Linked DNA regions of Canis lupus familiaris. The protein of the gene in region 1 interacts with the protein of each later gene in a pairwise test. Links are inferred from orthologs where the notes say so. Each region holds a gene or a part of one and is shown on either strand. Other genes may lie near its edges.

Region 1 (4,222 bases):
ATCTTTTTTTCTCCCAAGACAAATTTTTTTTTAAAGATCTTATTCATTTATTTCAGACAGAGTGAGAAACATCACAGAGGGAGAGGGAGAAGCAGACCCCTTGCCCAGGAGAGAGCCTGACGTGGGGCTCAATCACGGGACACTTAGACCATGAGCCGAGCCAAAGGCAGATGCTTAAACAACTGAGGCACCCCAAGATAAAATTTTTTTAATAATAAATTGTATTGTCATTCTCTTGCTTAAAACCAGTTAAGTGGTAATTTTCCAAAAAGAAATTACTTTCTAGGATCAATAGATAAATATACTACTATGAAAACAAATACACAAAGAAGAGAAATTCAGAATCATTTACCTGTGTGTTCACTACTTCCTGAGATAATGTCTGATTGAGTGGTGGGTACATCTCAAGTTTTATATTTAAAATACCAACAGAAACTTTTGATTCTGTGCCTATAAATATAAACAAATATTTAGAACTTCAGAGGTTTCCAGACTATGTATATTTAGTCAACCAAAGTCTAACCAAAATAATCTAAGAATTTTGGCTTTACCACTTACGTGAAATACAGATAATATTCAACATCTTTAATATTCATATTAAAAACAATTCAAATCAGTTTTTATTTTGCATAAAGACCTTGATCTAGTTGTAAGATTATCTATTTTTTGAGCTTGCTTATTACATTTTAAAGGGCTATTTGGATCTAAAGGATTTGGTATTCTTAATTTTTATCTTCATTAAACGTATACCAACCAGATTTACATTAAAAACAAAGTAAAGCAACTGTTAACATCTGGTTCTCAGGAAATATTTATACTTTGTCACATATAATAATTCCTTCCCATTTTTCGCATCACATCCATACCTGGATTTAAACAATTTGAAAACAAATACACTTTTTACAAGAACTATCTACTATTCCTCTGGTGAATCAGAATATACTTGTTTCTTGGTCACTACTATGATAATCATGTTAGGCCTATATTTGAAGACAAATAATGTGTATCTTTTGGAAATACATATATCCCACAAAAAACTTGTGCCCTTACTTTCTATTTAAGGAAAACCACATTCTGGGTATGACTTATCAAAATCTAAAGTACTAAAGCTATACCGTCCACCAACCAGGTTTGACTCTGTGACTTAGTTTCAATACCAAAGTAATTCCCTTATATGTTATGCATAAAATACTGGTAGGTTTTATTCTATTAGAAAATACATATCACACATCAGATAGTTCCCAAGAGTCCAAGGAAACAATGGTGAATAAAATAGGCACCATCTCTCTCCTCAAGGAGTATTATTCATAGATCCTGTCAATGAACAAGTCAGCACCTCTTTGAGTCCCATATTCCCACATGTAAAATGTTGGAAAAGTATCACCTCCATATTCTGTAAGAACCACTGCTGCAGGAAGGCACTGATACTAATGGGGGATGCACTGTACACTGGAGTGTGCTGGAGTAGAGTTTTTACATATGCATCTGTGTGAAGAATCCTACTGTTCTTTATAGCCTTATATGCAATCAAATAAATTTGAAGAAAAAAAATAAGCCCCTGAAAAAAAAATTTTTCCTTACAAGATCAGTTTGACTGTATAGTTCTATACCCTTTTTTTTTTAAGACTTTATTTATTTATTCGTGAGAGACACACACACACAGATTGAGAGAGAGAGAGGAGGCAGAGACACAGACAGAGGGAGAAGCAGGCTCCATGCAGGGAGCCCGACACGGGACTCGATCCCAGGTCTCCAGGATCAGGCCCTAGGCCGAAGGCAGTGCTAAACCACTTAGCCACCCAGGCTGCCCTAGTTCTTTACTAACATGCTTCACGGCATTTCCCAAGACCCCAATACTAGAGTCCAAATGTAATTTTGATGAAATTCTTTTTTTAAGTATTTTATTAAGTATTTATCTATTTGAGAGAGAGGACGCACACAAGCACAAGAGGAAAGGGGGGAGGGGAAGAGAGAGAGAGAGAGAGAGAGAATCTGTTTTTTTTTTTTTTTTCTATTTTTTTTGAGAGAAAGAAATCTTAAGCAGACTCCTCCACACTGAGCCCAGAGCCTGATGCAGAGCTTGGATCTCATGACCCTAAGACCATGACCCTAAGATCACGAACTGAGCCAAAATCAAGAGTGGAAATCTAGAGTCGGATACTTAAGTGACTGCACCATGCAGGCACTCCCTAATGAAAGTTTTTTTACATGTTTCCTGTTTGGTTTACAAAGGCATTCAGAAAACATAAAATGCATTTATAAACAAGCTATGGCTATAAAAAGGTAACAGTGATGAATCATCATACCTACACCCATAAGCTCCACAGTAAGACTGGTCACTCCATTTTCTGAGCCCAAAACTGATCGCCATTCGAGAAAATAGGATGCTACTAAAGTAGTCTCACCAAATATGTCTGTTTTGATTAGCACCATATGAACTGGATCACTTATTGATAACATTGTTGTTGAATCAGCCATTCTAGTTCCATCACCTGGCAACATAAACCAAATGCATCACATTACATATTCCATTAGACCAACATAGAAGAATACGTTTATTGCAAAGGATACTAATATACTTACATAAAACCAAATAAAATAATTTGGTAATGCCTCAGAAACCATGCAACAGATTACTTAATTTAAAAAGTACAATCCTGGGGCGCCTGGGGAGCTCTGTCAGCTAAGCGTCTGCCTTTGGCTCAGGTCATGATCTAAGGGTCCTGAGATGGATCCCCAGGTCACACCCCCTGCTCAGCAGGGAGTCTGCTTCTCCCTCTCCCCAACACTCTCTGCTTGTGCTCACTTGTGCTCTCTCAAATAAAATCTTTAAAAAAAAAAAATAAACAGCCTTATTAGGGTAACCTTTTTCACCAAGGGCAAAAAAATCTTTTCATACTGTATTAGCCATCTTAGCAATCTAAATTTCTAAAGGTGTAATTTTTTAGCTTTGCTAAGCAAACACATTATTAAGATTTCTATATTGAAATAACATAAAATACAGTTACAGAAATAATATAAGAATTATAGGAATCAGGTATATAATTTTAAAAAACTAGTTACAGACTCCCATCTTACCTTTATTTCTCAAAGTTACATAACATGATAAACCTAGCTATCCTTCATAAATGAGAAGAATTATGTCTTGTTCTTCACTAGATCCTCAGCACTTGCCTAGTACAGTATAACGCATCTAGCAGGCATTCATTGATTGGTTGATTGACTGATTTTGGGGAGGGGGGCGGAGAGGGAGAGGGAGAAAGAAATCTCAAGTAGACTCTGTGCTGAGCGCAGAGCCCGATGCAGGGCTCAAACCCACAACACTAAGATCATGCATGACCTGAGCCAAAATAAGGAGTCAGATACTTAACCGACTACAGCACCCAGGCAACCCCCTAACAGATATTTAAATGTTTACTACTTAAGAAGCAACCATTAAAACAGTAAAAATAAAAAATCTTAAGGAAAAATTATTTAGCAGAAAATAAAGCAAAAAGGTAGAAGTAATTTATGTAAAAAAGAGCAGTGGAGAAAATAAAAGCAAAGTAGGAAGATTCAATCATCATAAAACTCTCCTTCTAGCAAAAGTTATGTTACCATAAAACCTAACAAATATTTACTCAATTAAATGACAAGTTATTATTGCTCCTTACCTAAGCTTTCTCTGTGTACTTCAAGTAAAAAGCCATCATGAAAATCTGGTTCACAGGCACATGGAACAGGTTTAGAACGAAAACGTTGGTTTCGAAAATGTAAACATAGAGTAAAGGTTGAACAAACTTGTCCAGGTAAAGGCTCAGGTTCTTGTAGATGTTCCAAGAAAGCTTTTCCACCCAAAACCTGAAGGTAAAGATACCTCCGTGTTGGATCAATATTAGCTGTAAAGTGTAGCAATATATATGAGGAAACTGCCAAACAACTTAAGGAATGTGATCAAGACAATAGGAAATAATAACTTGACAGAAATAAAACCAAAGACTAAATTAAAAAAGTAACAAATTTACTGTATACCAGGACCATTTGAAACCAAGAAAGAAAACATACACAATAAGATATATTTTTATCGGAGTTTTTATATTCTGGGTACTTTCTCCCAGCTAGAAAAGAGTCAGAGCCAAGGCTTAAGAAACCTTTGCTCTTCAGGTGCTTATCTAATAACACGCCTTCACCGCCAAAGCCAAACCAAACAAATATAAACTCAGCAAGTGTACTTTTTAGGCAA
Region 2 (4,168 bases), on another chromosome or scaffold:
GCACTCCAAAACCTCTGTTTAGAAGCTTAGCTGACAAATCACTGGCAGACACACTCTTAATCACCCCCAGTTAAACTCTCATCTATCCAGAGGATGGGAAAATCAATCAATTGTTGCTAACCATTAGTTCGAGCACTTTAAGGCATACAGAGGGGAGGGTTAATTTTTCCCTGCAAACATCTGTTTTTTTACCCAAAATCAACTCTTTACCCAGAACTAGAAACTTGGAAGCAGCAGGGATTTAAGATACAAACAATACCGAGGTCATATTTTAGGGGGTGAAAGGGATGCTTTTGTTCCACACCATTGTTTCATGGACCCTGAAAACCCAGAGATAAATACCAGGTATTGAATGCAACACAGTCTGTACCAATCAATGATGTAAAGAGTTCTTTGTACACGATGTTGAATTTTTTTTTTACAATGTTGAATTTTTACTCAGAGGATTGTCAATCTGTTTTTAAATTGGGGGAGGGAATTAGAAAGATTATCCCTCCTCCACCCTGGCTGGCAGTTAGTGCAGGGATCAGCTAAGCCAATGACAGTGATGAATTTGGGATTAGAAATGGCTCAGTAGGAGGGTCTGATCTATCTCACGGCTTTCCCATTGTCCAGTATAAACCGAACCCAATCTGTACAGGCAATGCCACATAGGGTAGTAATAAATAACGTAACTAAGTGAATTTGAATCTCAGAAGATAAACTTTCCCATTACAAACGACTTTAGTCTTGTTCCAAATCACCTTACTGCAAATGATAACTCTGCATGGATATCACACATAATCTCTCACACAATCAGAATAACTACATTTTAAATGCTATCTTCCTATATGATAATCATATGCTCACAGTTGCAGGCAATGTATATACAACTTGGTATTTATCTTTTAAAAATCAAAAGGAGGCCAGGATGTCGTTATAACTTGGCAATTTTCTTCCTACTCATTTTATTTATTTATTTATTTATTTATTTATTTACCTATTCATTTTATATAATGAGTGCTCGGTAAATATCTGTTGGGTGACTTTTCATATATTTGCAAACAAGAAAGTAGCCTTTATACAAGTCTATCTTTATTTGTAAAAAATAATATACAACTAAAGCTAATTTGATTTTTAAAATCAAAGTTCATTTAGTGATAATGTACATTTTATAATAAAATTGTAGTAAAATACTGACATTTGATAGTTTAAACAAAGTATCATTCATGTAAAAATCATGTTGTCGCATGTAAAATTTAATTAGAAAATTCATAGTTCACAAAAGTACATATATTTTGTTGATAGCTCATGAGAACATTATCTTAAATTTACTCAAGATACAGAACAAAATTCACAGTTAGGCTTGACATTTAGTACTATAAAATTTTATGCTTAATCCTCTGTTAATAAGGTACACTTGAAATAACTGATTCAGGCTACCAACGAACTGACATTTTACTGCATAACCAAGATCTATTGGTTTTACAATATGTCTAGCAATCAATTATTTCACCAATAATTTAAATGAGAAATCTAGTTTTAAACACCATTGACATATACCCTTAGCAGGATAATTAAAATAAAAAGCACTAGCAGCTTTGATTTACATTTTCATGAAGACATATAAGACAAATCTGTACTTTATAGTTAAAATTTGTACAAAAAGTCAAGCCCTGAAGTATTTTTCCAAGAGAAAAGTTCTGATGTTAAAACTCTGTTTAAAAAAAGAGAGAGAAAGAGAGAGAGGTAGTGTGTGAAAGGATTTTTACTTAAAAGGTTGAACCCCTGCACCGCTCATAATATAAATGAAATTTAACCTACATGTTAACATTTTGCCATTCAAGAGTCAAATTTCTAGAACTCACAGGTTATGGCTGGAATGCCGTCAAAAAATAGTGGTATACAAGTGGAAGAGTTTGGTGAATTCAACAAAAAAAAGTACATTGCGTTACATAGTGTTGTGCAGTTAATAGTTTAGTGATAATCTGTTTAGTGGTAACATGAGCAAAATACATGGAGTATTCGGAGTCAAGTGACCTTCCTTCAGTCCAAGACTTCTTCATGTATCTTTACCATAGAGAGAAAATATCCTTCAAAACGGAGTCGCTTAATTCTTCATTGTTTCCATAGCACGCAACTGTTACAAAGGTACCCATTCTAGCCCTACCATAAAATTAATTAATAAATAACTCTGAGAGAAATAGCCATAAGCCCCAGGGAACTTATGGACCTCACACTATTCTTGGTTTCTATATACAGGCATACTGCAGTGCTTGTGCACGTTGTACAATGGAATCAGGTGAGGAATGGAAGTTAGCAGCCTTACCCTTCACTTGTTCTAAGTGGATGCGTTGGAAAGTAATAAATAGCCTCATAAAATTAATAGCAATAAACTCTACCTGCCTGAGGTGAATACTCTATATTTTTTTCCATAAAGTGTAGACAGTGTTCCTAGAAATCCCATGAAGGAAAAACCAAATATCTCATATAAAAAAAGTGCACAAGTTTGTCCTGTGTGTAAAAATCTCTTAAGTTGGGTGCATTTTTTTAAATCCAAAATGATTCATACTACTTGAATATATTAAAAGTGTATGAAAGCACACCAACAAAACACGCATAAACAACAAAAGGAATGATTTCTAATGATAGGAATGAGGATGAGATTAAGGAGTCTCATGTGCTACCACCGTTGAATGGAACTGCCTTTTACCATGTTAAGTTACATGCATATGGAATGAGCATGTAAATATGAAACTTGCAGGATGAATATGATTTGAACTTGAACAACTGTTACAGTTTCTTAATTCAGGAACATGGCTTCAATGTTTTATAACATAGGAGGTAACTCCCAAAAATAGGCAATTGGTTTGATTTCTTAGATACTAGAAGAAAAAAACATTTGAAAAAATTACTTGTAACAATTAGCAACAAAGGAACAGACATTAGAAAATCAACATAAAATACAGGGAACATAGAAGCTGAGGTCCCCAAGATACCAAAGGACAGAATCAGATTTCTTCACATTAGAATTTAAAAAAATATACTTAAAGAAAAAGCTAACCGGGCTCTGCACAGCAGGTTAAATATGCAACCACTTCAAATGGAAATGATCTGGTCCTCTCCTAGTTCTGAAAATGTGCTCTAACATCCAGTTCTCTATAGACAAAATAGCAAAAAGCATATAATTTCATTAGCAAAGGCCCCTTTCTGACTTAAACTCACCTCTGACAAACTGAAGTTTATATTAACAATTATCAAACTACTATTTTAATAACATTTTAAGCTTGCAATATTATTTTTCTCATGCCTACTCCAGGTCACTGGTTCAGAGGTATATATGCTTTAAACTAGCCAAATTTACAAGTCCCTATGGTGTCCTCACTCCGAAGACATTCAGACAAAGGTTTCATAGTGTTATAATTGTTCCATCTTCTTCTAAGAGTTTTTGATCCGGAGCACGTGTTTCTGTGTTTGTGCCACTTGCTATGGGGGCTAAGCTCACTTCATTGGAAGGAATAAAACCATTCTGTCCAGACTCAAAACTGAGTTCTATTTGTGTTAATGATTCGAAGCTCTCGGTATTAGGAACAGCTTTAGGAATCTGCTGGGGCACTCCGTTATCTTCAATAATAATGTCATCTTCATCACTGTCTTCATCCTCTGGCTCAAAGCTTGGTTCTACCTGCTGGGGATAGCCCAGGAGACTGTTATCCGTGGACTGGCCAGAGCTGCCGGAAGTCCGACTGTTCCGAACAACATTATTCCTCTGGTTTGCTGGTCTCACTGTTATGATGAGGTTGCGGCTGTTTGCGATCATCATGTCTGTTACTTGATCAAGACTCTTCCCTGAAACTTCTATGCCGTTAACTTCTAAAACTTCATCATTAACAGCTAATAGTCCTGTGCTTTGGGCCAGGCCTCCTGGGACAAGTCTGGATATAAAGATCCCTGGGACCTTCTCTAAGCCATGCGGTGTGACCCTGACACTGGAGCCATCCCGGATGTAGAATCCTAAAGGTTTCTCAGTGCCGTATTTGTAAAGACGAACCCTACGATGTGTTTCTGGGAGAATATCCACGTCTATGATAGAAGACACAGGTCTGAAGTCTTGGGGCATACTAATGACTATATGTGGCTTTTTTCTGTGGTTGTCAGGACGTAATACATTGGTCAAAACATTTTTCTT
Region 3 (4,222 bases), on another chromosome or scaffold:
ATGTCCTCTGCTGTAAAGGAGGCATGAGAATAGTTTTGTTTAAAGAACTTTAAAAAAGAAGTAAGTAAATGAAAAATGTACCTACTTTGAGGATGTTATGGTTGTTTTGTTGTTGTGAGAATTAAAAGTTAGTGTATATAAAGCACTCTGTACAGGGGAAAACAGTAAATACCTTTAGTAAATCTTACTATTACATGTGATCTCCACAGACCCCAACAGAGTGGCTGGCATGTAGGCAGTGTCAGCATATATTTGTTGAGAGAGAAGTGCTGCATCTATTTAAATTTTGCCTCATATCTTATCCAGTGATGAAAGAAACTCCTTTGCAAAAATAAAGTCTAGGGAGTTTTTACTATATACCAAACAATGTGAAGTGCTCTCTACGTGCTAATTTAACCCTTTCAGCAATCTATCTTACAGAAAAGAAACTGAGGCACAGGAGGGTTAAGTAACTCGCCTATGGTCACACAGCCAAAATGTGCTAGAGCAGGGATTCAGCCCCTGGCATCAGCCTCTGGTATCCAGCCTAACAGTATATCAGCCCCCAATGGCAGATGGAATAAAACTAGAACAAACTAAGAAATAAATTTTAAGAATAAACAGATTTTTCAGCAAAAGAACTTTGAACGCCTTTTGTGTAAGTTACCTCTTCTAGCATAGAGTTATGTTTGGCAACACTTTTAAATTCATCCCATAATGATCTTTTAAACTTGTCTATTTCTTCATATAGGCTGGCCCACTCCTTTTCTTTCCATTCATCAAATTTTTTCTTAGTTTCTATTTCCTTCTGATGGCTGACCTCTGCTTCCTGGAAAGAAAAGCAAGAACAATAGAATCATTAATTCCACATTACCGCAAATATTTACTGAGAAACTGCTAGGGCCTCTTGTATGGGCAAGTCATTATGGAGACCCAAAGCACAATCATCTCAGAGCTCCCACTGTTTGGGCATGGAGTGGGACAAGTCTTATCCAAACTGTAAAGTCCCTTGAGGGTAGGGACCATGTCTTTTCTCTCTCTTTGTATTCTTGGCATAGTTGGTGCTCAATAAATGGGTGCTGAGGAAATGATTACATGAAGGAAGGGGTGAGACAAATTTACATATCTTCATTCTACAACTATCTACTAAGTACATCCTTGAGAGTGGACTTTGGAGTTTATCCAGTCTTTGTTCTTCAAAGCGCAAACTAGCAGGGTAGTGTAAGAAGTTAACATTCTGGTTTAAATGCCCTCACAGAGTGCTGAATAATGTAGGAAAATGCAATTCTCTGCTCTACTTGTGGCCAGACAGATCTGGAAAAATAACTGAATCTTCCTTCTCAGACAACCCAAGATCATTTGCCATATCCAGAAAGATGCTATCCTGGTGCTGGCTGACTCCCTGCTGCAGGCTAGTTTCCTGCTGCAGAAAACCAGCCTGACTTCTGGTCCTGTGGAATACAGGTGCCTCTTGGGTCTCCTGGGTAGTCCACGAGCGGGTCTCCCTGGCGCTTCCTCTCCATGCCCACCTGCAGCTGTCGGCGCTTCTCTGCCTCCCTCTGGGCTTCCAGCTCCTCTTGAGTCCATTTTAGCTTGGCCCGCAGCTCTTCCAACACGTCCTCCTCCAACAGCCGCTCTGGCTTCTGCTTCGCTGTGGGGTCCATGCAAAGACAGGATAACCAGTTTAAGTTAAAAAGTGAGTGAAACAAGGTTCCTCATCTATGCGATGTGTCACACCTCTGGCTGAGACCAGCCATGCCACTTCCATTGGACATTGACTACAGGCAAGTGACATAACATCCCTGACCTTTAGTTTCCCCACATCAGAAAATGGAGATAACAACAGCACCTAACTCAGAGGGTTGTCGCGAGGGTGAAAGGTGATAGTGCAAAATGCTTAGCACAGTGCCTGGCATGACAACTCAATAAATGTGAACTATTATTATCACTTAAAATAACTATTTTGATGGTACCAACACACACAAATGTAAATGCGAGATTGGTAGGTAACAGAAGCATAATACCAAATAGCACGTACACAGTGATTATTAATACAAAGAACACATCTATGTACCTGGCAGCCATCAGAGAGGAGTTTAAAGGAGTGAAAATAATTGTAGTTTTAAGTTCACTTTGTTCAGAAACACAGTATAGTATTAAATTTCAAATGGAAAAAAAAAAGCAGCATGCATTACGAAGAAAATTTTAGCCAAGGTTGCTTTAAAAGTATATTTTAACATTTCTAAGATTAAAAAAAAAAAGAATGAAGTATAAAAGAACATTCTAACTAAACCACATACTGATAAACCAAGAGTTACAGGTTAATTGAAAAGACGCCAATTGTACTTGAACATTTGTTACTTTTTAAAGTACCTGTAGTGCCTATTAGATAGATGGTACTGTTATTAAACCTCTAAACCTGTCTTTGAAAAAAAAGAAATGGTTTTCCTCAAACTGGATTTTTTGGAAACAGCAATTTTTAAATGCAGTAGAAATTAATTTGGGTTAACAAAGTGATTTGAGATGATATGAAATCGGACAGCAGAGGGATCTGAAAAGCCAGCTGCCTGAGAATAAAAAGGTCATTAATTTAGCAAAAATTGCCTTAAGAACATATTTTCCCTCTCCTTCAACACTTAACCTTAAGAAAATAATAAGAAATATGCACAAAGATTTACATGCAAGAATGTTGATCATTATGTGATTTATAATAGGGAAATTGACAAGTAACCCATATAAAGTATAAAGTAATTTAATTGTGAAATAAATTAGGATAGCCACAGGATGGGATACTATTCAGCCATTAAAAGCCATGTTTCCCAAGATGACTGGATGACAATAGAAATGTGATATATTCCTAACTGAAGATAAGCAACAGTCAAAACTGCATACTATATGATTATATACATACACAGAAAAATAAAACAGAGAAAAACATCAAAATATTAACTGTGATTTTGACCGTGGTTCTTACCTTTTCTACCTTTCTGTATTTAAATATTCCAGGTCAAAAGTATTTTTTTCCAATTTTTTTATTGTGGTAAAATACACATAACATAAAATTTAGCATCTTAACCATTTTTAAATGTATAGTTCGGTGGTATTAAATACATTAATAATTCATAATGTGCAATTGTCACCACCATCCTCTTCCATAACTCTTTTCTTCTTGTAAAACAAAAACTCTGTATGCTTTAAATAACTCCCCATGCACCCCCTCCCCTGGCCCTGACAACCATCATTCATCCTACTTTGTTTCTATGAATTTGACTTTTCTAGGTGCCGCATATTATGTGGAATTATACAGTATTTGTCTTCTTGTGACTGACTTACTTCACTTAGCATAATATCTTCAAAGTTCATTCATATTGTAACATATTACAGAATTTCCCTTCTTTTTAAGGCCAAATCATATTCCCTTGAATGTATATACCACAATTTGCTTATCTATTCATCTGTCTACAGACGTTCGGGTGCTTCCCAATCTTAGCTACTGTGAATAATGCTGTTATGAATATCAGTATACAAACACCTCTTCAAAGACATATCTTCTTAATCAGAAAAAAACATTTAAGAAGCAGAAAATGTTTTTGTTTAGCAGCCTCCAATACAGAACCAAGAAAAATCAGATATATAATAAATGCATAATAAGTAAGTAAACGGTCCTGTTTTAAAACTCTAAGTCTGCTCTTTGAAAAGGAAATTAAAATGAAAAAATAAGAAAAAAGTTTTATTTAATGGGATTTTTATATTTATAAGATTTATATTTTCATATCTATATTTATTTCACGTGTTAACACCTATTTCTTATGGAACCACAAAAATGGATATAAAGTTCGTAAATCTCTTTATGGGGAAATATACAGCCTCGCTACTTGTTTTGGAACTTGAAATAGTAAAATTAAAGTGATTAAGTCATAATTAGCTACACACAAAAAGTCAAAAGACTGGCCTAATTGCTCATTAACCCCATTTAAAAACACATTCATAGCTAGCATCAGAAAATAGCAGACTCATAGAAGGCTGGAAGGTAAGGACCCTTCAAAACCACTGCATCTGACGGTCCCATTCACAGCAAAGGCCACTGTGACTCAGAGGGGTGCACTGACAGTGGTCACATAATAAAAAGGGATAAAGCTAACACCAGAACTTATCTCTCTTTTTCTCTACACACATGGTCAGAAACCCTCCCATCTTCACATGGGACAGATTCCCCCATGGTAGATGGTGGGATCATCCCCTC
Region 4 (4,655 bases), on another chromosome or scaffold:
ATTATGCTGTATTAAAATGCACAAATTGGGATCCCTGGGTGGCGCAGCGGTTTAGTGCCTGCCTTTGGCCCACGGCGCGATCCTGGAGACCCGGGATCGCATCCCACGTTGGGCTCCCGGTGCATGGAGCCTGCTTCTCCCTCTGCCTGTGTCTCTGCCCCCGCCCCCCCCCCCCCGGCCCCGTGTAACTATCATAAATAAATAAAAATTTAAAAAAATTATAAAATGCACAAATCTAGATCATTCTTTCTCTCAAGCTCCTGTGAAAAACTGTGTAGATCATCATAATTTGGGTAAATTTTAAAATTTCTTCTGGGCCTCAGGACTTGATGCCTTCAGTCGACCTAATCAGATTTACCTGCTGAGATCAGCATGGTGCTGAGCTAAGAAGAGAGAAGAGTCTGAAAGAGTGGCCACAGTGGGGAGGATGAGGCAAGAGACACGTGCGCAGGGAGCCCCAGACAGATGAGGAGGAATCCAGAGGAGAAAGAAAATAGGTGCCACTCAACTAGCTGGCTTTTTTTCTGCCATTCTCCTCCCAGAAGGAACACGGGACAGCACCTTATGAAAGGTGCACTTGGTAGGTGCCAGGCACTATGCTGGCCTTTTTATATATATAATTTCACCTCCTCTATCTAATTATCTGTCTTTCCTCAAGCTGTATTGTCTTAAACAGTGTTTTTGTTCTTATTTAAAAAGCAATCAAATGCAAAGAATATGAAAAATTTCCAAGACCTCTGTCCCTGTGGTGAAATTAAGTTTCCCCAACCCAACTGAGACATAAATGTTAGGGCTACATGTTTTCCTGAAGATGGAATCACTTACTGGCTAGTGTACATCCTCCATTTTTTACTAAGCAACATACATACAGGTACCTTTCCCTGCCCAGATAGATTATTATCTATTTTTTTTTAATGGCTATGTCATATCCCACTGGGTCGACGAAGTTATTTGGTTACATGTCTATTAGTGGCATCTAGGGTGCTTTCCGTTTTTGCACTATCACAAACAGTGAGGCAACAGATATTGTGAATTTTTTAACTGTGCACTATTACCCAGTTACTTCCCTAGGATGGGCTTTCGGAAGTAAAACCAGGCAGTCAAAAGGTATCCTTTTGACAGATAATCAGAACACGTAACACTCCACCAATACTGCATAAGTACCCCTGACTCTCCAGACCTTTATCAGCACTCTGACACTTCACTGGGCAGAAGCCATTTGTCAGTTGACCTTGTATACCAGGCCATTTGATTTTCTTTTTGAATGAATTCCTTTCTCATGACCTTTTCCCACTTTTCTATTCTGAAATCATCCCCATTTTCTTACCGATGTATGAGAGCTCTCTCTCTCTCAAAAAAATAATAATAATCTCTTGCTACACAAGTCCTTTCCCAATTTTTTGATTTCCACTTATAATGGACCTGTCATCATTTTCTTTTATATGGTAGCTTGGTTTCCACATGAGTTTGTTTCAATAATCACATACATTTAACCAGCCTCCAGTCCTGCTGGGGCCCGTTTTCCCTTCCCCATAAGCACTGCACCCTCAAGCTTCTCTTCATGTCTCCCCTACCCACAATAGTTCCAAGGCACCACTGCCTATTCTAGACTGGAACGAAGGTGCCAGAAGGGCAGGGCTCTGTTCTCATTCCTGTATTTGTAAGACCACCCAACATGATAAATACTTGCTGAATGCTGAATGAATGGAAAACCAGACCCACCTCCTCACTGTCTCTTTGCCCCTCGGTAATACACTCTCCCACCCTGGCAGTCAGACTGATCTCTATCTGTCTTTCTATCTATATATTTTTTTAAGACTGGGAAGGGGGATAGGGAGGAGCAGAAGGAGGGAGGGAAAGACAGAGAGAGAGAGACAAGAGAATCCCAAGCAGGCTCCTCACAGCTGGATCCCACAACTTGGAGATGACAACCTGAGCCTTAAATCAAGAGTCAGTCCCCAGATGAATCACCCAGGCACTCCTCCACCCCTGTTTTAAGCAGGCTTCATACCCAGCCTGGCACCCAATAAGAGGCTTGAACTCATGAGCCAGAGATCAAGACCTGAGCTGATACCAAGAGTCAGATGCTTAACTGACTCAGGCACCCAGAACCCTCACACTAATCTTTTAAAGATATAAACCAAGTCATGCTTCTCAGCATACGTTTAGGCTGAATCTAAACACTTCATAAAGGCCCACCAGCTCCCTGGTACCTCTCCAGCCTCAACCCCTACCAGTCTACAGCCGACCCTCCTGCTCCAAGCACCCGGCTCTTTCTGCTCCTTAGATGTGTCCCGCCCTGGGTTGGTGAAGGCTGTTGAGGCTGGGACCAGCTGGCCATGTCCCAAAGGCCTCAGAAATACCACCTCCTGCGCAGGGCTGCCGACACTAACACTGTTAGGGGATCCCTCTTCTTTCTCCCCCAAACCACTCTACATTCTCCTCCTTTCTTCACTGTAAAGCCCTGTTGATAAACTGATTTTTGATATTTCTCAAAAGGAAGGAAGCACAAGCGGAGGAGGACCCAGGCCGACTCCTCTCCAGGGGCCGGGGGCCTGACGGTGGGGAGGGCGCGGTCGGTGCCCCAGCGCCCCCCGGGCTCCCCCGCACCTGGGCCTCGGCGCTGCGGCGCTCCTCCCACTCCCGGCAGCTGGCCAGGTCCCGCCGCCACTGCTCGCAGGCGGGCCGCTCGCCGTGGACGTAGTAGTGGTGCAGGAGGTGTCCGGCGCTGCGGCAGAGCGTCCACTCGGCGCGGTAGGCCTCGCAGGGGCGCGGCGGCTGCGGCGACAGGGAGCTTGAGCCAGGGGCCCCGCACCGCCCCCGGGGACCCAGCCCCGCGCCCTCCTCGGGAGAGGCCTCGGGTCACGGGCTCTCCGCACGCCCCGCGGCCCCGGACTTACCCGCCAACCGCCTGCGTCCGCCATGGCCCGCGCCTGCGGCACCCCGCCCCCAGCTCGCGGGCCGGGACTGGGGCAGCGCACCCTCGACTCCGCGCCTACCTCCTTGACGTCCGGCCGAGCAGCCAATAGCAGCCGGGGGCGGTGACACGCGGAGGCGGGGCCTGCGGGAGCCCGGGAGCGGGGCCCGGGCGGGCGGGGGCGTGTGCGGAGGTCCCGAGGTCCCAACGCCTGGCGTGCAGTCCGCCCGGTGCCTGGCGGGCTTCCTGGGCGGCACAGCCACGAAGTGAGCTCTTTCTGAAACCACGGAGTCCAGGCTTATTTTCAGGTTTACTAAATCTGCACAGATAGGGTTCATTTCCGTGAGCACACAATGAGCATCAACTCCACATGGCGAAGCTGCCGAGGCTGCGGCGCTGGCGGGGTGGAGGGTGGCCAGGCAGGACCAGTGGGAGTTGAGGCTCTAGGGCGCCGGATGATCTCCCGATGGAAGCCGGGCCTGTCAAAAGTGGAGGCCGGTGTGACCTGGGGTAGAGGACAGGGCAGTGCCAGCGTAGGGTGCCTCGCACGTCGGATTAGGAGTGAAGTTTTACTCCGAGGTATGGAAGACACCGAACATTTATAAACAGGACAGATGCACAAGAGGCAATAAAAGCAGAGGCTGGTGATCTGCAGAGTAGCCCTGCAATATCCATGCAGTGGTTCTCCGACTTCCACGAACTTAATTCCCTGTGGGGAGCCCCTTACAACTGCTGCTCGCCTGCCCCGGGACCGAGGCTGGGTTAGACGCCCTCGAGGTGGGGCAGAGGCTGCCGCTTTACCAGCGGTCCGGCCAAGCTGGCCACAGACCAAGCTTGGAGACGGGGAAGCCTGCAGACCAGGGTGCAGCACGGATAACCCAGAAGTTTGCTCTGGATGGCCCCTCCCCTCTGCTACCAGAAGCCCAACAGGGACTGCCCCTGGCCTAGGGAAGGAAGAGTGGCTCAAGCAAAGGATCAGGGGTGGTTTCATTGCATACACGTAGGTGTTGCTTAGGGAGGAAGACAAAAACCCAAGACCAGTCCGTGCCTTTCTGTAATATTCATTATGCATCAAATGACACATTAGCCAATGTGATCCTGCAAAAGGAGGTTGCCTACCCACCAAGGAGGGATTCTACCTCAGCTACTGAAAGAGACTCCTTAATGGAGGATCAGGGAAGTCATAGCAGTGCTTCATGCCTCTTGACACCCTGTCCATCATTAGTGACCTTTTGGGCCATAGCCTGGCCTAATCTGCGTGACCATCATATACTCTTGGACGTACGGGTAGACCCCGGACCACCATCCTGAAGGAAGCATCGTCTTGACTGTTGGAAGTTCCGTTAAGAGATGGACCCCTCTATCTCTAAGCAGGAGTCCTCCTCCAAGAGGAGACCCTGTTCAGGCTGACCATCCCCAATGCAGGGGTCAGAGCCTCATCTCTCCATATATTCTCCAAAAGCCCCCGGAAGAGCTCTTTTCTCTCTTTTTTTTAAAAGATTATTTATTTATTTATTTATTTATTTATTTATTTATTTATTTGACACAGAGAGAGTGAGCGAGCACAAACAGGGGAGCAGCAGGCTCTCCACTGAGCCAAGGTGTCCGATGCAGGGTTTGATTCCAGGACCCTGGGATCATGCCCTGAGCCAAAGACAGACGTTTAACAAACTGAGCCACCCAGGTGCCCCGAGGAGCTCTTTTCTAATGGCAGGATGGAACAAGGGACACTTGCAAG
Region 5 (3,636 bases), on another chromosome or scaffold:
CAAACAGGACACTCCCTCAGCCTTTCACTTAGTTTGGGAAGACTGGAGGAGTTCCTTGGGAATAAAGGTTATTTATGGATACAGGCTGAGAAGAGCTCTTTCTCCTGAAATCCTGTTAACCTGGATTATGAGACAGTGAAAATTGCCCCGGAAAGTTGAGATGGGGCCCCGGGGTTGCAGCTCATGGCCAGCTCCCTAACAGCAGAGGCCTTGCATTAGGCACTCAGTCTCCTAAAGGCCATTTCTTCATTTGAAAATCAAGGCAAGCCCCAAAATATCTTTGCTTCCTATCTTAAAGGTTTATGTAAGGAAGCTGTCTCGGAGCAGGAAAGCCCTCCACCATCAAGGGACTTCATGGTAGGCAGCTCCCTGCCTTCCAGCTGGAAGGCCTCACTCCTTTCATCTTTGCTCCTGCTGTCACTTCCCTGGCACATAATTAGCAGTTTGTGGGGTGCTATTTGGGTTTTCTTTGTGTTTGGCGTTGTTTTGTTAATTCTCTGTGAAGCTAAGTGATTTGAGGTGATTTAAAATTCTGAAGTTGACGGTGCTCTGGCAATGGTGTTGTCCGAGCATGAAGAATAAGGACGTGTAAGTAATGGTGAAAACACACTGAAACTACCAGAGCTCCTGCTTAGGACTTCCTTACACCAACACAGCACCCACTTCCATGAATGAGGAAAAAAGTGAGGAGAGGCAACAAGGGAAAACGATACATTTATTAAAACGCATGAAAATGCATAAACTCATTTATAAATAAATGTAGGATTTGCCCAGTGAAAAAATAGCTAAAATCCATGAGTAAACTGGATTTTACATATGAAATGATTACATATTTGATCTCCAATAATTTCCCCTCCATCATGATCTCTTAGTAGCAGCAATTTTGCAATGACTTATAGAAAAAGCCGTTACCAGTGAGTATCAAGGGGGGGTGGGGGGAGTTTTTCAAGGATTTTCTTTAAAAATGAACCAGTGCAAACAAATTCAGGTTATAAGGAATACAGTAAGACCTAGGGCTTATCTTCAGAAAAGTAGAAAATAAAAATCCCAAACATTCATTCATTAAGAAATGAAAAAGCAAACTACATTTTGATCATTAAAAAATAATACATATGGATGTTATAAAACATTCTTAACTAGTAATTATAATAATTACACTTAGAAACGCTCATTCAAGTACTAGTGTTCAATAAACATTCAGATTCCCATTAAAAGTAACACTAGATAGAGACTTGTGTGGACAATACTACTTCTGATTTAATAGCAACAAAAAAAATCACATCAACAGAAGGCAAGTGACCATTAAAATACTGTATTTTTTTTTTTGTCTGTAAATGATTTTTCACAGTCTGTGCACATCACCTGCGGGAACCCAAGGACCATGTCGCGACAGCTAATGAAGTCCTTTCTGTAAAATGATTCTTGATATTACAGAAACAAACATGCGAAAGCACAGGGTCAGCTCTAAACACAACAGGGCAGAACCAGTTTTCTTTGGCAAGAAATCGTCAGCTCCTGGCGGAGCAGTCGTGGCCTGTTGCGTGGCCGCGCTCAGGGCCTGGGGTGCGGGGGGGCGCCTGGAGCACCCGGTCACCCGGGTCACCGCCGGGCCGGCTGCTAGCAGGTCTTCCTTCCAGAAGCTCCCTCCTTATCCTGGCCTGAGTCTCCGGTTTTAACAAGAGTTCCTTTATCTGCTTCACCTTGGACTTCAGACCCATCCTTTCTCGCCGCAGAGCTTCACGAATTAAGTCCTGGAGTCCAATGGGCCTCTTGCCTGCGGGGAGAAAAAATTATATGACACATTTTACATTCAAATGCCAGTGAAAAGCATTACATAGGGCACACCGACTTACCAAAGGAGGTTAAAAGAAACCTTTATGTTGTTGCCCACGTTTTATAGAAAAGGTGGTTGCATTTTGCCAAAAAATATATCATTTGCACGAAACGAATTTGCTGTAAATAAAAGTCCCCGCGTGGCAACAGCAGACGGAGGACAGACGTGAGACACTGTGGACCAACAGGGTGGAGGACGATCCCGACGGGCAGGGTCTTCGGTTTAGCACTTGCAGCTGCCAGCCAGGCAGCAGGGATGGCAGGGCTCCCTCCAGCCCAGGCCCTTGGTGGCCTTCCGTCTGTGTCCAGGAGGCACAGCCCAGAGCCGCCCGCCTGGGCTGTGCGGAGGGCAGGTGGGACCTGGGCCCCTCTTCTCCCACAGTGCACCTGCTGCCCGTGGCGCCGTTTGTCCCCCGTGGTGCTTCAGAAACGCAAGCACATTGGCCACGGACGTAGGAGGCCGTCTCCACAGACTGGACGAGAGCCGGCGGTGCAGGCGGTGCGGGCGGTCGGTGGGCCCGCGGGCCCGTGGGCCCGGCAGAGGGGAGCAGGTGCCTCCCGGGGCGGGGGCCTGCCCGGGCCTCACCTCCCGCTCTGGTCGCCGTCAGCACCACCCCGGTCAGCCGCTCGGGCCTTCCCGGAGCTCCCATCCGCGGGCTTGCCTCTGCTCTGCGTCTCCTCCAGGTACTGCTGCACGGCCTTGAGCACTGCGTTCTCCACCAGCCTCTTGCTGAGCCTTAGCAGCTCAGCATCGTCGGGCTCCCCTCCGTTCTTAGCACCTACATTCCGCGACAGAGAAGAGAGGTCACAGAGGTCATACTGCCACCGGGACTCGCACGCACGGCCGGCTAGCTCACTTAGCTAAAAAGTGCAAGTGTCCTTCAATCTGGCAAATTGGACCTTTACATCCGAGAACACAGGTTTGGCTTTTCATTCGGTATTTGCAGAAACAGGAAATTGCCTATTCCTGGAGATTTCAGATTGAAAAGTAGTTCAGTAACCCCAGTCTAAGAATACTCCACCTCCTCATGCTAGAAGCTTCCCATTTCTAGAATTTTTGTTCTTCTTTCATCCATGGCTGTTTGCTACTATGAAAGTCCATGTGCCCACACCGGGAGCCTCTGGCACGTGGACTGCACCTACTACATCTGCATCTGCTTTTCCTTCGCCACTGCCAAATGTCAGGTGATTAGGATTTCCCAATCAACTCGTTTTTCCCAATCAACCTGCTGGCCCACAGGTTAGTTGCTAATAAACTTGCAGAACTTCCGTGAAGACGATTACTACTGCTACGAACTGGTTTAACCTTGTAAAACTAATATTCTTTTTTTTAAATCTCAGTGCTATCACTGCAATTGAAGAAATAAAAAACTCTTCAAGAGTTAGGATGATGACAGTAAATTACCAGATGTTAATACTTCATAGCCATTTTATTTCCCAGCTAGTGATGATCAAGGTTTGACTATTCCATCTTTCATTTTACTGTAAAAGGTCTGGTTCTCATCTATTCCTATGCTAGACATTTCCCACTCACTCTCTTCCTTGTCTCCATTAACTGGGGAAAAAACATACGGGACTCGTGGCTCATGCCCATTCAGTCCCTCATCTCCTTCCACCAAGCTGCTAACCCAGAAAGGCAGATGACTGGAGGCAAAGACATTCAAGCACCCAAATATGATAAACAAATATCAACAGATCCCAAGTAAGTGACAGAGAGCAGTAAAATAATAGTTGGGGATTTCAATATTCTACTTTCAACAATGAGAGGATCATCTGGCCAGAAAACCAACTGGACTTGAACGA
Region 6 (4,222 bases), on another chromosome or scaffold:
GGCAATGTTGTGGCTGAAAACACAAACTATTCTGGAAAATAAAGACCTGTCTGGGCATTGAAGTCTTCATAAAGAATTCCAGATATTTCTGTGTTTGAGGACAGGTTTGGGTTTCTTTGGAAAAACTACAGGGCTTAGGAGCAAGTCTGAGGCTAGGCTCTACCTGGCCAATACCTGAGCAATTCCAGCCACTCCTTAAAAAATGGCATTTCCCAGGACCTGGGTGGCTCAGTGGTTGAGTGTCTGCCTTTGGCTTGGGTTGTGTTTCTGGGGTCCTGGGATTGAGTCCCGCATCAGGCTCCCTGCAGGGAGCCTGTTTCTCCCTCTGTCTGTGTCTCTGCCTCTCTCTCTGTGTCTCTCATGAATAAATAAATAAAATATTTTTTTAAAAAGTGGCATTTCCCAGGCACTCCCACTAGTCATCCCATTTAGTCCCTCTAACAACCTCACAAAGTGGTTGGAATTATCTCCAATTTATGGATGCTGATCCCAGGGCTTTTCCAGGTGAACCTGCCCAGGCTCACATGAGGTAACTCATGGCAAAACCAGACTTAACCTCACTGCCTGCCCAAAGCAGTCCTTCCGACCTTCTTACAGGGAATATGAGGTGAAGGAGATGGGAGGGACTGAGATCCAGGGAGGACCCTCAAAGGCCCTGGGGATGGTGGAGCTCAGAGCGTTTCCTCCTAGGCTGCACTTGTTTCAAGGCCCAACTCCTGAGTCTTGAAGAACTTACTGTAGTCATATTTCCTTCTCTTGCAAGCTCATGCATTGCTAGAATTTGGCAGGCATCGATATTACCGTCGTCTTTTTCTAGGATTCTGAAAAAGGAAGAGGAGCCACATGAATTTTGAGTATGCATAGACCAGGCTAGCATGGCACTGCAGCCACTTCTGATTGTCTCCTAATATCCTGTCTCCCTTTCTCCTTTTAATAATGGAACTCCTGGGCAGCCCCGGTGGCACAGCAGTTTAGTGCCGCCTGCAGCCCAGGGTGTGATCCTGGAGACCTGGGATCGAGTTCCATGTCAGGCTTCCTGCATGGAGCCTGCTTCTTCCTCTGCCTATGTCTCTGCCTCTCTCTCTCTCTCTCTGAATAAATAAATAAATAAATCTTAAAAAAAAAATAATGGAACTCCTGATCTGGCTGGGCACACAGCTACCCAGCATAAAGACCACATCTCCCAGCCTTCCCCTGCAGCTCAAGTGTGGCCCTGTGGTTAAGTTCTGGCCAACAGGATGTGACTGCAAGTGCCCCAGTGACATCCAGCTGTTTCCTTACAGCACATCTCTTCTTTCTTCTCTTACTTCTTTCTGCTGGCTGAAACATGGACCATGTAATCAAAGTCCTAGGAATATAGAACAGTAAGACAGAAGGGTCCTGGGATCCTAACAGAGTTAAGCTGCTATGCCAGTCCTGGACAACCTCCCAGACTCTTATCTGATAGAGGAATAACCTTTCATGTTATTTAAGTCCATGCATCTGGGGCAATCTGTGACAGAAGCCTATTCATATGCCAACTAACATAGACTTGATCATGGCCCTGTGGTCCCAGGGTGGTGGAGAGGTCCTTGATGGGTCATCTGCAGCTATAAGATGGAAAGGGAACCTTGCTTTCCAACATGTGTCATTGTGAAGACACAGTTTCCGGTCATACATACTTTGGGGTTTTCAATATTCTGTTTCTTTATGGGAAACTTCCTATTTTTCAGCCTAGTTAGGGATGGCCCTGCACTTCATAGAGGGTTACTCTAATTAAGACACAAAATCCCAATATGATTAGTTAGGCAGTCAACATTCAAACAGTTCTAATCCTTTATGCTGATTCTGTAGGTACAGGGAAACAAATACATTTGGAAATTTAAAAAAAAATTTTTTTTTGAAATAACCTATGGACTAAAGAAGAATCAGAATGGATATTAGAAAATTCTTAGAACCAAATGATACTGAAAATATCACATCCAAATGTGTAGATACTGCTAAAATAGTACCTTGAGGGACATGCACAAATCTAAACACATATATTCTAAAAGAAAATTGAGAATGGATGAGCCAAGCATCCCACTCAAGAGTTAGAAAACAAGAGCAGGATAGCCCCACAGGAAGGAGTTGGCAGGAAATCACAAAGAGCAGACATTAACACAGTAGCAAACAGATACTATAGAGACCATCAACAAAACTCAGAGTGGGGTTTTTAAAAAGACTAGTCAATGAAACAAATTACTTTGATGTTGATGAAGGAAATTTAAAGGGAGAAATAAATAATATTAGGGATGGAACAAGAAACACACCTAGAGGGGCACAGATTTAAAAAACAATAGGGGCAAGGTGCCTGGCTGGCTCAGTTGGTAGGGCCTCTGACTCCTGATCTCAAGTTTTTTAAAAATAAAAAACAATGGAGGAAGTTCTGTGAATGCCACTAGCTGCAAAAAACTCCATAAGGGCAGGCATCGGTTGTGGGACTCAGCCCGTTGGCACTAAACACTGTTCCCTGCAGGCAGGGCAGCAGGGCCTTGGGCGAGGGAGGCCACGCACACCACGGTTGTGGCCGTCAGCCAGGTGCTCCCAGGATCCCGCTGGCCGAAGGCCAAGCCTCCAAAGCAAGCTCTTCACCCAGTTCCTGCCAAGGACACTGGCCAGGTGTCAACTCTGAGACAGAGAAGCGAGGCCTGCACAGGCACCGCATGTGGGGGGCCCCAGTGCACTGAGCAGATCCCAATTACATTCATTTGCTCCTGGGTGCCTCTCTCGGGGACTCAAATTCCAGTGATGATCATCAGAGGAATTGCCATCCCTCCACAGGGAAGAGGTCTGCTTGTGTTTTGTTTTGTTTTTGAACTGTGCTGTATAGTACCACAACTTAGTCATGATTCGTAGTGATGACTCGTGGTCACTCAGAAAAAAAGTAGTCTGTTAACTCTTTTTAGGGAGAAAGTTAGTAGCACACATTTTAGAATTACTTAATAAAACTAGTGAAAGCATTAGTTTAAGGAGATAAGCTTCAGTTATCTAGAAAATTCCATCCTCAAAAAACCTTCCATCTGACATCCCTCCCCCCAAGTGGTCTTTATTTCTAGAGACAGTGACAATGCTCCAAGGTCACCCACACTTGGTATCTGGCTTCCACAGCCCCAGGAGCTCCCCGGCTCTTGCTGTCTGGCTAGAAGTCTTCTCAGTCACCGATGACCTTTTTCCCTGAAGTTTTTATTACGGTGTATCATACCCATAATTTAAAAAAATTAAATAATGCAATAGTTCCTTTATGCCCCTCTAACCCCGCTCTTTAGAGGCAACTGCTTGTCAGCCTGTAATCCTGGTTGCTTTGGGTTCCTTGGGTCGCTCCTCTGTCTCTTTCTCCTAAATAACATGCTTATAGCTCTAGATATGCCTATTTCTTTGTCTATCAGGGGCCATGTCCTCCTGGCCTCCTCCCCATATGATCGCATCACTCTCTGTACCTCCTCTGTTGCCAATATTTACTTTTATGTCTTGTTGCATCAAACACACGCTGTCTCCCATGTCCCCATCTTGTAAGATGGGAACATGTTAGCACGCTTGGCTCGCAAAGAAAGGGAAGAAGCAGCGGTGTGGTGTAGTGGTGCCGGTGGACACCTGCCTCTCACCTGTGTCCCATTTCTACTGTCTGCTCCCAGTCCTGCCGTGCCAAGAACAGCTGCATCTTCAGGATCAGGGCAGGCAGGAAGCTCCCTGAGGTGACGGTGATCTGGTTCACCACCTCCAGGGCCCCTGAGTAGTTCTGCTGCATCATTAAGTATGTTGCCTGTTGAAAGCCCAACAGAAGAGCCTCCATCAGTGCCCACAGAGGGAGGTCCAGGGGTGTCAGGGTCTTGACCAGAACAGGAGCAGAGCCTGACATATGTGTGCTGCGGGAATCCCTCGAAGCCCCTGGGGAAGGAGTCACCATCACTCAGAGTGACAAATCAAAGTCCACACCAGTCCTGGCTTCTTGGACAGGTGAGGCCAGGGCTCCAGGGAGATTGGGGCACCCTGGCAGGTGTGGCATACAGCAAGACCACGTGCGGGCCACCCCTAGAGGGAGACCTCAGGCTGCTGGGCACCTTCCACTTCTACTTTTCCTTTTCCATTCACTGTCTTGAACCTTATCAATGAAAATTGCTCCCTGGGGCCCTGGGTCAGTTAGGGCTTGCAGGGAACACTCTGGATTGGGGGGCTGAAGTGGCACTTTTTCTCCATCGAGGAT
Region 7 (4,861 bases), on another chromosome or scaffold:
TGGCTGCTCCTCACCAGATTGCCTGTCCTCCCACATTCCTGGAGGATCACGAGGAATCCCGCTGAGGCTTAGGTCAGCCTGCCATCAAGCCTTGTCTGTGTGACCTAGAGGACCTCGTGCAAGATGGCCAGGCACCTGCCCGAAGCAGTTCCCCTACCCACGGGGCCTACAGCAAGGCGGTGAACTACACACGGTCTGGGCTGGGTTTCTCCAGCTCGGCATGGTGGGTTTGATGCTGGATGATTCTGTGATGGGGGCCTGTCCTGCGCTTTCAGGATGTTCAGCAGCATCTGTAGCCTCTACTTGCTAAGTGCCAGTTGCAAACAACCTCTCCTCCCTCCTCCCAGTGTGACAACTAAAAATGCCCCTAGACATTGGTTAAATGTCTCCTCAGTGGTAACTCCTAAGTGATAACCATTGATCTGGGACTCGGAACGTGGGTCTCTTACCCCTTGCACTCTCTACCCCCTGTCCGCAGGTGGGTAGGCTTTGAGCATGCTGGCTTCCAAGGGCAGCAGTACGTGCTGGAGCGGGGCGAGTACCCGTCCTGGGACGCCTGGAGTGGAAACACAGCCTACCCCGCCGACAGGCTCACCTCCTTCCGACCGGTGGCTTGTGCTGTGAGTCCTTGCCACCACCTTGTCCCAGGAAGGCCTGAGCCGCTCCAGTGGGATTTGGGAACCGATCGTCCCAGAGTTCAAATCCTCATGTCACTTCTTCAAGCCATGTGACGTCCCCTCTCTGAGCCTTGGTCTCTTCATCTTGAAATGGGGCCATGTCATGGGGAAGGCTCTGGACGAGATCACCGCATACATTGTGACCTTCATGGCTTCGGTTATGATATGAGCCCCTGTGTGTTTCACGTCCTTCTTTTCATGACATGGGGATCCTGGAGAAGCTGGGTGCCAGGGGTGGCAAGACAAGGTGGGGAGGAAGGTTCTATTTCTTCTCCCTGATTCATTATCAGTGTTCCTGATTTTATACTCCAGCTACTGTCTATGGAGTATGGGTGGAGGTGGGCATTATTATCTCCATCTAACAGATAGAAGAGCTGAGGCTTGAAAAGATGTGAGTTTTTTTTCTTCAAAAGCAACTTTCATTATTTTATTTTTTATTTTTTTATTTTTTAGACATTTTATTTATTCATTCATAGAGACACACAGAGAGAGAGGCAGAGACACAGGCAGAGGGAGAAGCAGGCTCCATGCAGGGAGCCCGATGTGGGACTCAATCCGGGATCAGGCCCTGGACTGAAGGCGGCACTAAACCGCTGAGCCACCTGGGCTGCTCACAACTTTCATTACTTTACAAATCACACAAGGCACATATATTTATCATCCAAAGTTCAGAAAGAAACCTGATATGTTAGAGGAAGAAGTCATACTCACATGTCTGAGACAGAAGCCCAGTCTTAACAGTGCCGGAGACTTCCTTTGGTCTTGTTTGTTATCAACAGATTCAATCTATACCAATTGTTTTTTTTTTTTTTTAAGATTTTATTTATTTATCATGAGAGAGAGAGAGAGAGAGAGAGAGGCAGGGATACAGGCAGAGGGAGAAGCAGGCTCCCTGCAGGGAGCCCGATGCGGGACTCGATACCAGGACTCTGGGACCCGCCCTGAGCCAGAGACAGACGCTCCATGGCTGAGCCACCCAGGGGTCCCCATGGTTATTTTCTTTGTATACATTTCTGGATGGGCAAATGGTATATACCTTTTGTAAGGTTTCTGTAACCTCATTACCCTTCCAAAAGATTTTGTAAGGAAGGCTGATTTGTGGGGACAGGGGCAGGGGTGTCAGCAGAGGCTCCTGGGTTCTCGGCTGGGCTTCTGGTGGTCCGACCGTTTCTTCTTCCTACAGAACCACCGTGACTCGAGGCTGACCATCTTCGAGCAAGAGAACTTTCTGGGCAAGAAAGGCGAGCTGAGTGACGACTACCCCTCCCTCCAGGCCATGGGCTGGGATGGCAATGAAGTGGGCTCCTTCCACGTCCACTCGGGGGCGTAAGTGAATCTGAGGCTCTGCCTGGAAGAGAAGGAGAGGCTGTTGGGGGTGAGGTGTGTGTGGGGGGGATATGTTCCGTGAAAACTGTGTGCTGGGGACTTTGGGGCGCTGGTGCCCACATTCCAGAGGAGGACACTGAGGCACAGAAAGGTATAAGGTAAGAATATGTGGGATCTCAAGTGGCAGACTTCCATACCAAACTGATATTATGCCCAAAGGATACTGATTGACCCTTGTCATTAGCTTCAGGCACAGCTGGATCCAGGTGCTACGGCAGGGTTCTGTCTTGCCTCATTGTGGCTAAATTCTCAGGCAAGCTCTTCCCAAGCAAAGGCCACACGGCAGCTTCATTCTTACCCCAGCCAGCCCCAGGGAAAGAGAGCGTCTTTTTCTCACTGATTCCACCAAAGGTTCCAGGAAAGGCTCTCATTGGCCCAACTTGGGTCATGTACTCAACTCTGAACCAATCGTCATGAGCAAGAAGGGGGTGGTCTGATTGGCTAGGGTTGGTCACATGCTCATTGCCAGGACTTGGAGGGGTGGCAGGGGGTCTCTCCCCAGAAGTGGGGAGAATGGATGTCCAGCCCTTAAGAAATAGGTGTGGCTCAAACATCCTGCTCCAAGTCTACCAGCTGCTAGGTGACTGAATCCAGCTTCAAACCCTGGAATGACTGACCCTTCTCACTCTTTCCCCAGGGGCTGGCAGGTGAAGGCCAAGATGTGAGGTCTTCATTTAGGGAGGACATTACAACCACCTTCTTGGAGTACCCTTAGGCTCCTGGTAGGGGTGAAGGTGAAGGTGGCAGGGTTTTTTTTGTTTGTTTAACAGTTTCCCTTTTTTTAACCATCAGAAAATCTAGTTGTTCCAAAGTAGGATGGGCCTCTTGTGATTCCTGAATCCACTTCCCCCTTATAGAAGGGGTAATGGAAGCTCAGAAAGTGAGACACCAATTCTTGTCCAATCCTGAGCAATGTAGGGGGTCAATGAGTGGAAAGAACAATAGCCTTTGCCTTGGAAGGGCTTCTGGCTAAGGGAAGAGGGGAAGGAATAAAATTCCACACTCCCTCCTTCCATCCTTCCTCCCTCCCATCCTTCTTTCCCTCGTCCCTTCCTTCTTTAACTATTATTAGCCCCTCTTCTGTGCCGGGCATTGCACTATGCACAAGAGATCCCAATGAACCAGACACACACAGCCCTACACCAGGAGCTTACCTGCTGGTGGAGGAGACGGACATTTTACAAGTAATCTGATACTTGTCTAATTATATGAGAACTACAGAGGACCAGAAAGGGACAGTGGCCTGAATTGGAGAACCAGCCCTCAAAACAAGCTGAAACCTGACTGATAATTATAACTTGGCTAGGCGCCAGGCTAAGAATGGCTGGAATGGTGTTCTTGGCAGAGGGAACAGCATGATCAAAGGCCCAGTGGTGGGGAGAGCAGAGCACATTCCAGGCAGTGAAGGAAGCCTGGGATGGCTGGAATGTGTATGCAGCATGGGAGCCTTTGCCCCCCACCCCCCAATTTGGTCCCCTCGCTGATGCCTCTTTAGGGTAACGGTCTGCCTCTTCTGTTCCCCAGCTGGGTTTGCTCCCAGTTCCCTGGCTACCGAGGCTTTCAGTACGTGCTGGAGTGTGATCACCACTCAGGCGACTACAAGCATTTCCGAGAGTGGGGCTCTCACGCCCAGACCTTCCAGGTGCAGAGCGTCCGCAGGATCCAGCAGTGAGCAGGGGGCCCGGCGGTGGCGGCGGCAACGAGGAGCAGATGTGTGCTTGTCTGGACAGAGGACCTGTGGCGGTTCTTCTGTGCACCCTCCTCTGCCTCCCCCTGTGGCCCCTGTGAGCCCAGCACCCATGTGAGCCAGTTCATGCACAGTCAGCACGAAACAAAAAAAAAGTAATAAAAAAAAGAAGATCTAGCGCTAGTTTGTGTTTTTTCAATTTTATTCATCCGCTCAAGCAACCTCGGTTTTTCCACTTTATTGATTTGCTCGCTCATTTGTCTGTGTCCAGTTCGCTCCATTGTACTCCTACCATCACCATTTCCTTGCTTCTGTGTACTCTGGGTTTCCTTTATTCTTAATTTTTCTAGTTTGGGAGGGTAGACCCTTGGGTCATTCATTTTAGACGCTGCACTTCTAAATGACCGGAGAGTCATTGTAGAGCTATTAATTTCCCTGTGAGCACAGCTTTAGCTGCTTCCCCCACATTTGAATTGTTCAGTCTGATATTTCCCAGTTTTCCCCTGTGAATTCTTCTTTGGCCCATGGGTTCTTTAATGGTATGTTATCTTTTGGGATTTTTGAGATATTTTATTGTCATTGATTTGTTCTTAGTCCGTTGTGGACAGAGAACACATTCTGTCGGATTTCAATACTCACGCTCGCTTTCGGCAGCACCTATACTAAAATTGGAACAATGTAAGATTTCAATACTCTGGAGTCCAGACTTAATTTATAGCTCAGCAGATGGGCTATTTTTGATAGACTTGGTTGCCCACTTGAAAACTGTTTATTTATTTATTTATTAAATATTTTATTTATTTATTCATAGACACAGAGAGAGAGGCAGAGACACAGGCAGAGGGAGAAGCAGGCTCCATGCAGGAAGCCCGATGTGGGACTCGATCCCGGGTCTCCAGGATCACACCCCAGGCTGCAGGTGGCGCCAAACCGCTGCACCACCGGGGCTGCCCTGAAAACTGTTTAAATTTTGAAGTTGTCGGTTGTGGTGTTCTGTCAATGTCACTTAGGCCAAGTTGAGGTTGGCTAGTGTTTTTGGCAAGTGTGGGTTAGATTTTTCTACATTTTTGCTGACTTTTTAAAAAATATTTTATTTATTTATTCATGAGAA

What was found.
Region 2: the proteins of CEP76 (region 1) and PARD6B interact in binary tests that used the Homo sapiens proteins (3 or more experiments, as listed by UniProt). The two-hybrid records come from large-scale screens. The link is inferred for Canis lupus familiaris from reciprocal best matches to the Homo sapiens genes CEP76 and PARD6B.
Region 3: the proteins of CEP76 (region 1) and DZIP1L interact in binary tests that used the Homo sapiens proteins (3 or more experiments, as listed by UniProt). The link is inferred for Canis lupus familiaris from reciprocal best matches to the Homo sapiens genes CEP76 and DZIP1L.
Region 4: the proteins of CEP76 (region 1) and C26H22orf39 interact in binary tests that used the Homo sapiens proteins (3 or more experiments, as listed by UniProt). The two-hybrid records come from large-scale screens. The link is inferred for Canis lupus familiaris from reciprocal best matches to the Homo sapiens genes CEP76 and C22orf39.
Region 5: the proteins of CEP76 (region 1) and AKAP7 interact in a two-hybrid assay, tested with the Homo sapiens proteins (3 studies listed by BioGRID). The two-hybrid records come from large-scale screens. The link is inferred for Canis lupus familiaris from reciprocal best matches to the Homo sapiens genes CEP76 and AKAP7.
Region 6: the proteins of CEP76 (region 1) and TTC21A interact in a two-hybrid assay, tested with the Homo sapiens proteins (2 studies listed by BioGRID). The two-hybrid records come from large-scale screens. The link is inferred for Canis lupus familiaris from reciprocal best matches to the Homo sapiens genes CEP76 and TTC21A.
Region 7: the proteins of CEP76 (region 1) and CRYBA4 interact in binary tests that used the Homo sapiens proteins (3 or more experiments, as listed by UniProt). The two-hybrid records come from large-scale screens. The link is inferred for Canis lupus familiaris from reciprocal best matches to the Homo sapiens genes CEP76 and CRYBA4.

The regions. Positions count from the first base shown.
Region 1 is NC_049228.1:78,176,771-78,180,992, forward strand, and holds part of CEP76 (centrosomal protein of 76 kDa), read right to left. Parts: intron 3,879-4,222; coding exon 3,654-3,878; intron 2,493-3,653; coding exon 2,307-2,492; intron 451-2,306; coding exon 353-450; intron 1-352. UniProt on the Homo sapiens protein: Centrosomal protein involved in regulation of centriole duplication. Required to limit centriole duplication to once per cell cycle by preventing centriole reduplication.
Region 2 is NC_049245.1:37,743,756-37,747,923, reverse strand, and holds the end of PARD6B (partitioning defective 6 homolog beta), read right to left. Parts: coding exon 3,389-4,168; 3' UTR 1,053-3,388; downstream 1-1,052. UniProt on the Homo sapiens protein: Adapter protein involved in asymmetrical cell division and cell polarization processes. Probably involved in formation of epithelial tight junctions.
Region 3 is NC_049244.1:34,855,791-34,860,012, forward strand, and holds part of DZIP1L (zinc finger protein DZIP1L), read right to left. Parts: intron 1,631-4,222; coding exon 1,509-1,630; intron 809-1,508; coding exon 647-808; intron 1-646. UniProt on the Homo sapiens protein: Involved in primary cilium formation. Probably acts as a transition zone protein required for localization of PKD1/PC1 and PKD2/PC2 to the ciliary membrane.
Region 4 is NC_049247.1:29,925,672-29,930,326, reverse strand, and holds the start of C26H22orf39 (UPF0545 protein C22orf39 homolog), read right to left. Parts: upstream 2,975-4,655; 5' UTR 2,925-2,974; coding exon 2,901-2,924; intron 2,779-2,900; coding exon 2,611-2,778; intron 1-2,610. UniProt on the Homo sapiens protein: Negatively regulates long-term potentiation and modulates adult synaptic plasticity. Stabilizes the interaction of RTN4 isoform A/Nogo-A with its receptors, inhibiting clustering of postsynaptic AMPA receptors at synaptic sites.
Region 5 is NC_049222.1:70,056,579-70,060,214, reverse strand, and holds the end of AKAP7 (A-kinase anchoring protein 7), read right to left. Parts: intron 2,613-3,636; coding exon 2,496-2,612; coding exon of another isoform or gene 2,420-2,495; intron 1,775-2,419; coding exon 1,509-1,774; 3' UTR 696-1,508; downstream 1-695. UniProt on the Homo sapiens protein: Probably targets cAMP-dependent protein kinase (PKA) to the cellular membrane or cytoskeletal structures.
Region 6 is NC_049244.1:9,020,715-9,024,936, reverse strand, and holds part of TTC21A (tetratricopeptide repeat protein 21A), read right to left. Parts: intron 3,782-4,222; coding exon 3,624-3,781; intron 822-3,623; coding exon 737-821; intron 1-736. UniProt on the Homo sapiens protein: Intraflagellar transport (IFT)-associated protein required for spermatogenesis. Required for sperm flagellar formation and intraflagellar transport.
Region 7 is NC_049247.1:20,682,148-20,687,008, forward strand, and holds the end of CRYBA4 (beta-crystallin A4), read left to right. Parts: intron 1-478; coding exon 479-620; intron 621-1,860; coding exon 1,861-2,003; intron 2,004-3,587; coding exon 3,588-3,735; 3' UTR 3,736-3,933; downstream 3,934-4,861. UniProt on the Homo sapiens protein: Crystallins are the dominant structural components of the vertebrate eye lens.